2 linked regions of the Callithrix jacchus genome follow. The protein of the gene in region 2 purifies or fractionates together with the protein of the main gene of each other region. This does not show direct contact. Links are inferred from orthologs where the notes say so. Each region holds a gene or a part of one and is shown on either strand. Other genes may lie near its edges.

Region 1 (4,397 bases), on a different chromosome or scaffold from region 2:
TTGTAGTGGCTAGAAGTCTGAGATCAAGTTGTCAGAAGGGACCAGGCACAGTGGCTCATAGCTGTAATCCCAGCACTTTGGGAGGCCAGGGCAAGCCTATCATGATGTCAGAAGATCGAGACTATCCTGACCAACATGGTGAAACCCCATCTCTACTAAAAATGCAAAAATTAGCTGGGCATGGTGGCGGGCGCCTATAATCCCAGCTACTTGGGAGGATGAGGCAGGAGACTAGCTTGAACCCAGGAGGCAGAGGTTGTAGTGAGCCAAGGTCACACCACTGCACTCCAGCCTGGTGACAGAGCAAGACTCTGTCTCAAAAAAAAAAAAAGTTTACAGAAGAGTTGGTTTCTTAGACCTTTGTTATTTATTGGCTTCTAGATAGCTGTCTTCATGTTCACATGGTGTTCTCCCTCTCTTGTTTTAAGGATACCAGTTATGGATTAGGGCCTACCCCAGTAACTTTATTTACCTTAATTACCTCTTTAGGGACTCTATTTCCAAATTCAGTCACATTTTGAGGTATCAGGGTTTAGGACTTCATCGTATGAATTTGGAGCAGACGATGATTCAGGCATTTTAGGGCCCATACCTATTTTGTATTATCATTGCTAGTTTTTTTGGTTTTGAAAGCTTAGAAAGTGCATGGCAACATTAGACATTTATTCCCTAGAAATGGAAGGTGTAACTTCAGAGACCTATTCACTTTGAGAGAGTTCCTTGTCTAAGAAAACCCACAGAAAACTGGATGCAGTGGCTCATGCCTGTAATCCCAACATTTTGGGAGGCTGAGGTGGGTGGATCACCTGAGGTTGGGAGTTCGAGACCAGCCTGACCAACATGGTGAAATCCTGACTCTACTAAAAATACAAAAATTAGCTGGGCATATTGTCAGGCGTCTGTAATCCCAGCTACTTGGGAGGCTGAGGCGGAGAATCACTTGAACCCAGGAGGCGAAGGTTGTGGTGAGCCGAGATCATGCCACTGCACTCCAGCCTGGGCAACACAGTGAGACTCTCAAAAAGAGAGAGAGAGAGAGACAGAGACAGAACCCAAAGACAGTCTAGGACAGTCAGATGCTAGAAAAGATTTATTCGTATTGTAGATCTTAAAAAATTCATCGACAGCAAGTAAGGGAGTACATAATGGAAAAAGCCACTGGCCTGCTGTTTCCCTGAGATTCCAGATGTGCTTTTGCAGATGTTCCTCCTTCCAATCTAACCTCCCTTGTCTGCTTCCCCAGTGAGGTCATAAGCAAATATTTGTGTTAGTTTCTTGTCACCATGGTGACTAAAGAAGCTCAGCATGGTGCTCCTTCCAGCTTCACTGTCAGCTGTGCTTGAAGGAGAGGCTAGCGTCCAGGACAGCCTAGGCTCAGTCATGAAAAGCCACGTGTCAGGTAAATAGGGGACAGCAGTTCACAGTGCTGCCTTTAGAAATCTGTCCTCTACCATGTTAGTCTCACAGGGATAATCAGGCCTCAAAGGGAGTGCAGTGGCACAGACACAGCTCACTTATAGCCTCAACCTCCTGGGCTCAAGTAATCCTCCTGCCTCAGCCTCCCAACTAGCTGGGACTGCAGGTGTGTACCACCATGCCAAGATAATTTTTGTATTTTTTGTGGAGATGGGGTTTCACCATATTGCTCAGGCTGCTCTGGAACTCCTGGGCTCAAGCAGTCTGCCCACTTTGGCCTCCCAAAATTCTGGCAATATAGGCTTGAGCCCAGGCTACAATGCCAGTTTAAAAAAAAAAAGAAAAAGATTATTCCAACCTGGCCAACATGGAAAAACCCTGTCTCTACTAAAAATAAAAAAGTTAGCTGGGCATGGTGGTGGGCACCTGTAATCCCAGCTACTCAGATTACAAGAAACTCACTCAAGAAAATCACTTGAATCCAGGAGGCGGAGGGTACAGTGAGCTGAGGTCGCACCACTGCACTCTAGTCTAGGTGACAGAGCAAGACTCTGTCTCAAAAAAAAAAAAAAACTTCGTGGTAAAATGTATGTAACAAAATTTTTCATTTGAGTGTACAATTCAGTGGCATTAATTACAATTACACTGTTATGTGACCATCATCACCAATATCTATTTCCAAACATTTTACTGCCTCTAACAGAAATTTTTTTTTTTTTTTTTTTTGAGACGGAGTTTCGCTCTTGTTACCCAGGCTGGAGTGCAATGGCACGATCTCAGCTCACCACAACCTCTGCCTCCTGGGTTCAGGCAATTCTCCTGCCTTAGCCTCCTGAGTAGCTGGGATTACAGGCACGCGCCACCATGCCCAGCTAATTTTTTGTAATTTTAGTAGAGACGGGGTTTCACCATGTTGATCAGGATGGTCTCTATCTCTCATGATCCACCCGCCTCGGCCTCCCAAAGTGCTGGGATTACAGGCTTGAGCCACCGCGCCCGGCCCAGAAATTCTTTACCCACTAAGAAATACCTCCCTATTTTCCTTTCCTCTCAGCACCTGGTAACCTCTAAGCTACTTTCTGTCTCTGAGTTTGACTCTAGGGACATCAAGTAAGTGAAATAAGATTTGTCCTTTTGTGTTTTGCTTATTTCACTTAGCATGTTAATTTCAAGGTTTGATCATATTGTAGCATGTATTAGACCTTCATTGCTTTTTATGGCTGAATGATATTCATGGTATACATATACAGTAGTCCTTTTCTTATCCAGAGGGAATATATTTCAAGATCCCCTGTAGATAGCTGCAATGGCAGATGGTACCAAACCCTATATACTATGTTATTTCCTATACATACATACCTATGACAAGGTTTAATTTATAAATTAGGCCCAACAAGAGATTAAAAACAATAATAAGAGAACAGTTATAACAGTATGCCAGCATCATCACTCTTACACTTTGTTAAGTAAAATAAGGATTACTTGAACACAAACCCTGCAATATCTGCTACGAGCTGGCAGTGTATATAGTGTGGATACACTGTACAAAGAGATGATTCATGTCCCAGTTGGAATAGAGCGGGTTAGTGTGAGATTTCATTATGCTACTTGGAATAATATGAAATTTAAAACTTATGAATTGTTTATATCTGGAAATTTCCATTTAATATTTTCAGACCACAATTGTCTATGGGTAACTGACACTTTGCAAAGCAAAACTGTGAATAAGGGAGGAATAGTATAAGAGTACAATTGCTGGATTATATAGTAGTTACGTTTAATTTTTTTAGAAACCACTATTCTGTTTTCCACAGTGGCTGTACCATTTTCCATTCTTACCGGCAATCTACCAGGTTCTAGATTCTAGCCAATGTGTGCTTTTATTATTTTTATTCCATCCTAGTAGGTGTGGATTAGTATCTCATTGTGGTTTTTAAAACTTTTTTTTTTAAAGATGGAGTTTTGCTCTTGTTGTCCAGGCTGGGGTGCAATGGCGTGATCTCAGCTCACCTCAACCTCCGCCTCCCAGGTTCAAGTGCCTCAGCCGCCTGAGTAGCTGGGATTACAGGTGTGCACCACCATACCCGGCTAATTTTGTATTTTTAGTAGTGGGGGGGTTTCTCTATGTTGGTCAGGCTGGTCTCAAATTCCCGACCTCAGGTAATCAGTCTGACTCGGGCTCCTGAAGTGTTGGGATTATAGGCGTGAGCCACTGTGCCTGGCCTAAAACTTTTTTATTTATGTTTTTCAATCAGCTTTCTCAGGTTGAGTCATTGTAACTCTACCTCCTGAGTTCAAGTGATTCTCTTGCCTCAGTTTCCCAAGTGGCTGGGATTACAGGTGCCGGTCACCGCCACACCCAGCTAACTTTTGTATTTTAGTAGAGACGGGGTTTCACCATGTTGGCCAGACTGGTCTCAAACTCCTGACCTCAAGTGATTCACCAGCCTCGACCTCCCAAAGTGCTGGGAGTACAAGCATAAGCCACCGTGCCCAACCTTGATTTGTATTTCTCTAAGGACTAATGATGTTGAACATCTTCTCATATGCATATTGGCCATTTATATATGCTTTTAGAGAAATGTCTATTCAAATTGTTTACCCATTTTTAAATTGGGTTGTCTTTTTGTTCAATTGTAGAAATTCTTTATTCTGGATGTTAAACCGTAATCAGATACGTAATTTGGAAATATTTTCTCTCATTCTAGAACATGTCTTTTCACTTTCTTGCTGGAGTGCAGTGGTGCGCTCTTGGCTCACTGCAAGCTCTGCCTCCTGGGTTCAGGCGATTCTTCTGCCTCAGCCTTCCTAGTAGCTGGGACTACAGGTGTGTGTCACTGTGCCCAGCTAATTTTTTTGTGTTTTTAGTAGAGATGGGGTTTCACCATTTTGGCCAGGCTGGTCTCGAACTCCTGACTTTGTGATCCACCTGCCTTGGCCTTCCGAAGTGCTGGGATTACAGGTGTGAGCCACCATGCCTG
Region 2 (4,532 bases):
AACTTTGTGACCAGCTAAGCAACATAGCAAGTTTCCATCTTTACAAACAAAATGAAGAAAAAAAAATTAGCTGAGCATGGTGGTGTCTGCCCTTAGTCTCAGCTACTGGGGAAGCTGAGCCAGGAGGATCGCTTGAGCCTAGGAGGAGTTCTAGGTTGCAGCAAGTTACAACTGCACCATTGCACTCTAGCCTGAGCAACAAGGCTCTGAAAAATACAATAAAAATAAAGAAAAGGGCCGGGCATGGTGGCTCATGCCTGTAATACAAGCACTTTGGAGGCCAAGGCCGGCACATCACCTGAGGTCGGGAGTTCAAGACCGGCCTGAACAACATGGTAAAACCCTGTCTTAAAATAAATAAATAAATAAAAGGACAGATGTGGTCTCTTTCAGCAGAAATACAGTTTGAGGCTGGGCACAGTGGCTCAAGCCCTGTAATCCCAGCACTTTGGGAGGCTGAGGCAGGAGGATTGCTTGAACCCAGGAGTTCAAGACCAGCATGGGCAACATGGCAAAACCCCATCTCTACAAAAGAGAATACAAAAGAGTTAGCTGTGGGTAGTGGTGCCTGCCCAGCTACTCAGGAGGCTGAGGTGGAAGGATGGCTTCAGCCAGGGAGGTGGAGGCTGCAGTGAGACATGCCCTTGCCGCTGCACTCCAGCCTGGGTAACAGAGTGAGATCCTGTCTAAAGAAAAACAGAAGCCAGGCACAGTGGCTCATGCCTGTAATCCTAGCACTTTGGGAGGCTGAAGTTGGCAGATTGCTTGAGGTCAGGTGTTCGAAACCCACCTGGCCAACATGGCGAAACCCCATCTCTACTAAAAATACAAAGATTAGCTGGGTGTGGTGGCAGGTGCCTCTAATCCCAGCTACTTAGGAGGCTGAGGCAGGAGCACTGCTTGAACTCAGGAGGTGGAGGTTGTAGTGAGCCAAGATCACACCACTATACTCCAGCCTGGGTAACAGAGCGAGACTCCATCTCAAAAAAAAAAAATCCAAAAAACAAAATAAAAGTTGAGCCCGTCTTCCTACACGCAACTTCCATGGATTCTTCAGAAAGAAGAGCGATGGATCTACCCACCACAACTAGCAAAGGGTAGAACGACCACAGAATGCACAGAGGGCTTCTGAGAAGAGCAGGAGTTTGGAGTAGATGATATAAAGGGAGAGAAGAAGAGTCAGAGCCAGCAGTGCTTTACGGATCTCCAAGCACCCTTGGTGCTCTTGGCCTGGGTCTGAATGGACAAAAGAAGAGCAAGAAGAAGGGAACCAAATTTTGTGGGAGGCTGGAAGAGGAGGGCCTATACTTCCAAGCTCCCAAAGGCTTTTTTAGAAAAGAAGGTGGAGTTGAGTAGGGTGGGGTAGGGTGGGGCAGGAGTGGGTGAAGTGGGAGTGGCCTGAAGCTTCCAACGGCTGGATTTCAAAAATGTCATTGTATTCCAGCACTTTAATAAGGCAAAGATCAAAACGTCAGCAGCTGAGAGAATGGGCCACAGCAAAGACTTCTTGGCCTGGCTGGGAAAATGAGAGTGGCTCACCCCAAGGAGGAAAGGACAGTGCCCCTAACCCTCGAAGACACTGGGCAGAGGGCCAAGGGAGGAGTGCGGCCAGACCTGGGCATAACACAACTTCCTGAGCTGGGAGCCTCTGCCTGAGCTGGGAGCCTCTGCCCTCTGTCTCCCTCCCTCCTTTGCATTCCTGGGCCAAGCAGGCCAAGGGCTGTGGGAGCTGCGGGGGAGCCAATCTCCCTTCTCCCTGAGCTGTTTTGGTGGGCCTGTCAGAGCCCAAGGAAGGTCCCAGACAGGCAGAGTGAGGGAGAGCTTCCCAACCCTTAGAACCCAGGGCAAGGTCATGCCGAGGGGGGCCACCGCCAAGCCTGTGGAGGGGAAAAGGGGGACTGCCCTGCCTTCCTGACCTCTCTCCAACATGCTGGACAGATGCCAGCTTGGGAGTTATGTCTTAGTGGGCATCATGTGTTCAGAGGCAGCTTGGGTAAAGCTGGCACAGTGCCAGGCCCACCAACGAAGTTCTAACAGGACCCTTTCTGCCACTCCAATGTGTCCTGGGTGCCCAAAGTTCTTGGAGCTGACAGGGATAGTTTTGTTTTGCTCAAGCCCCTCCCTTAGGCTCCGAATAGCTGGCAAATCCCACTGTGAATTCCTTATATCCCCCCACCCTCTCCCAGAGACCTCTCCCCTCTCTGTGTCACTATTCCTTATATCCTCCCACCTCTCCCAGAGACCTCTCCCCTCTCTGTCCTGTCTTGACAATTCCCCTAGACACTGGCCATCACCCGTTGGGGGCAGTTCCGGGGAGGGAGGAGACTCTCTGGCAAAGTTATCCGTCTCCAGGCCCTCTCACTCCCTTCCTGCAGCCGGCCAGGGGCGCCGGCCCGCCGCCCTTTCCACTCCCCGCCGGGCACGCAGCCACCTGGGCGAACTCACCGCGCTTTCAGCTCCTTAAACTCCTCACGCACTTTGCTCAGCTCCAGCTGCAGCCGGGCGCGCTCCTTGGCCACTGAGTCGAGGGTCTTGCGGGCATCTCCGAGCTCGGCCTCGTAGGCGGCCTTGATGCCGGACACCTCGCGGCTGACCACCTCTTCAGACTCGGTGATGCGAAGGCGCAGCCCTGCGTTCTCCGTCTCCAGCGAGCGCACACGGTCGATGTAGACCGCCAAGCGATCATTGAGCTCCTGCAGGTCCTCCTTCTCCTGCAGCCTGGTGATGCGGGTGGGCGATAGCGGAGTGGAGCTGGCCTGCGCCCCGCTGCGGGTGGCGCGCCGCTGGGACGGGGTCTCCATGGCCGGCAGGGTGGCAGCGCTGCCCGCTGGGCAGGGGTCCCGGGAAGGGCGCGGGGCTCGGGCGGAAGGACAGAGACTGCTCGGGGTCGGAGTACGCCGGCCGGCTGGCTCTCGGCTTGCTCCTGGCAGGCGTGGGGATCGGGCCGGGCACTGTCGGACCTCGGGATCTGGGTTGGCTGGGGTAGGTGCGGCGCTCCCGCGAACACTGAGTCACCGGCGCCGGGGCAAAGGCTCTAATAGGTCCTCCTTTGAAGGGAGGAGGGGCCTGCTCTTAAAGGGGAAGTCCCAGATCCACGGGGGTGGGGGCGCGGGTGTGCAGAGGAGGGGCAAGGACCGCAGGGCTGTGGCAAAGTCGGGCCCCACCCTCTCCAGCGCACTCCCAACTGCGTGAGCCTTACGCTTCCCCTCTCTCGGCTTCTGCCGGCTCAGCACCTCGGGCTCCAAGCTTGCCCCCACTGCCTCAGACCTTCTGGCTAGAGGGCAGAGCCAAGGAGGGATAGTGGGTGGGCAAAGGGTGGAAGAGAGAGGGGGAACTGGGTGCAAAGCAAGGGAGAGGGTCAGGCAGGGCTGGGAGCCAGGAAAGTGGGGGGAGGGTTGAGGCTGGTGCCCACCAGTGTGACTCACCCTTCTTCCACCACTGGCTCCCCCTGTCCTCCCAGTAGTAATAGTGAGTCACCCCTTTCCCCCTCCACACGTGGGCAGCCCATTCAGAGCTGCATCTCAGTGTGCCAGGAGTGGGGTGGAGAAGGAATGCCTGGGGACCCTGGGGGGAGCAAAGTTCTGGAACCTAAGTTCCTTTAAGTCCCCAATTTGGGGGCAGGGATCCAGGAACTTGGGGTCCCTTTTTTCCTATCTTTTGCCCCAATCTATCTCCCTTCAAAACCAAGCATTCGTTTTTAGACCCAAGCAACAAGCCGCAGTCCCCTAAAGAAGGCCAAGAATAGGAGTCAGGCACTGCCCCCTCCCATCTCCTGTCCTTTCCTTTGGACCCAAGCAGTTGGAAAAGGAGACTGCCTGGTTCCTTCCTCCTTCAGTCCCTTCCTACTGCTTACCCCACCCAGTCAACTATTTTTTCCCCCAGAGCTGTACTTATTTTAATGGATAATTTAAAACAGATACCAGAGCTGTTCGTGTATTCATTATGTTGCCAGGACATCGGGTCCCAGATTTCTGTGGTTCCCAGAGGGGCCTGAAAGGGGAAGCAGAGCTAGGAGCTGGACAGTCAATGTTGGGTCTCTATCCTGGTTTCAGCCAGAAAGAAGGTAGTGGGGGGAAGAAGGTAGTGGGGGGCAGGAACAGCAAAGACCCCACAGCCTTGCTAGCTGCAAAGTCCAGTACATCACTCATCTCTAGTTTCCATGGCCAGGTCCATTTTGTAGCTGGCTCTGGGGAGGGACTGGGCTCTCTCACAAAACGGGATCACCCAGGTCCCCAGGCTTCTCTACCTCAGGCTCTGGAGCCTCCATCCTCAGGCCTCACCAAGGACCCCTTTGATCAGCCTTCCACCATCTTGGCCCCCATCCTGGTCCCAACAGCCACCTCATCCTTTTTTTTTTTAAGACGAAGTCTTGCTCTGTCACCCAGGCTAGAGGGCAATGGCGAGATCTCGGCTCATTGCAAACTCCACCTCTCAGGTTCAAGTAATTCTCCTGCCTCAGCCTCCTGAGCAGCTGGGATTACAGGCACCTGCTACCACAACCAGCTAATTTTTTTTTTTTTTTTTTTTTTTTT

Evidence for each region.
Region 1: the proteins of LMNA (region 2) and KPNA6 purify together in Homo sapiens (affinity purification with mass spectrometry; 4 studies listed by BioGRID and IntAct, with this or other methods). This does not show direct contact. The link is inferred for Callithrix jacchus from reciprocal best matches to the Homo sapiens genes LMNA and KPNA6.

What each region holds. Positions count from the first base shown.
Region 1 is NC_133508.1:68,747,341-68,751,737, forward strand, and holds the start of KPNA6 (importin subunit alpha-7), read left to right. Parts: upstream 1-1,302; 5' UTR 1,303-1,305; coding exon 1,306-1,399; intron 1,400-4,397. UniProt on the Homo sapiens protein: Functions in nuclear protein import as an adapter protein for nuclear receptor KPNB1. Binds specifically and directly to substrates containing either a simple or bipartite NLS motif.
Region 2 is NC_133519.1:16,506,499-16,511,030, reverse strand, and holds the start of LMNA (lamin), read right to left. Parts: upstream 3,009-4,532; 5' UTR 2,802-3,008; coding exon 2,446-2,801; intron 1-2,445.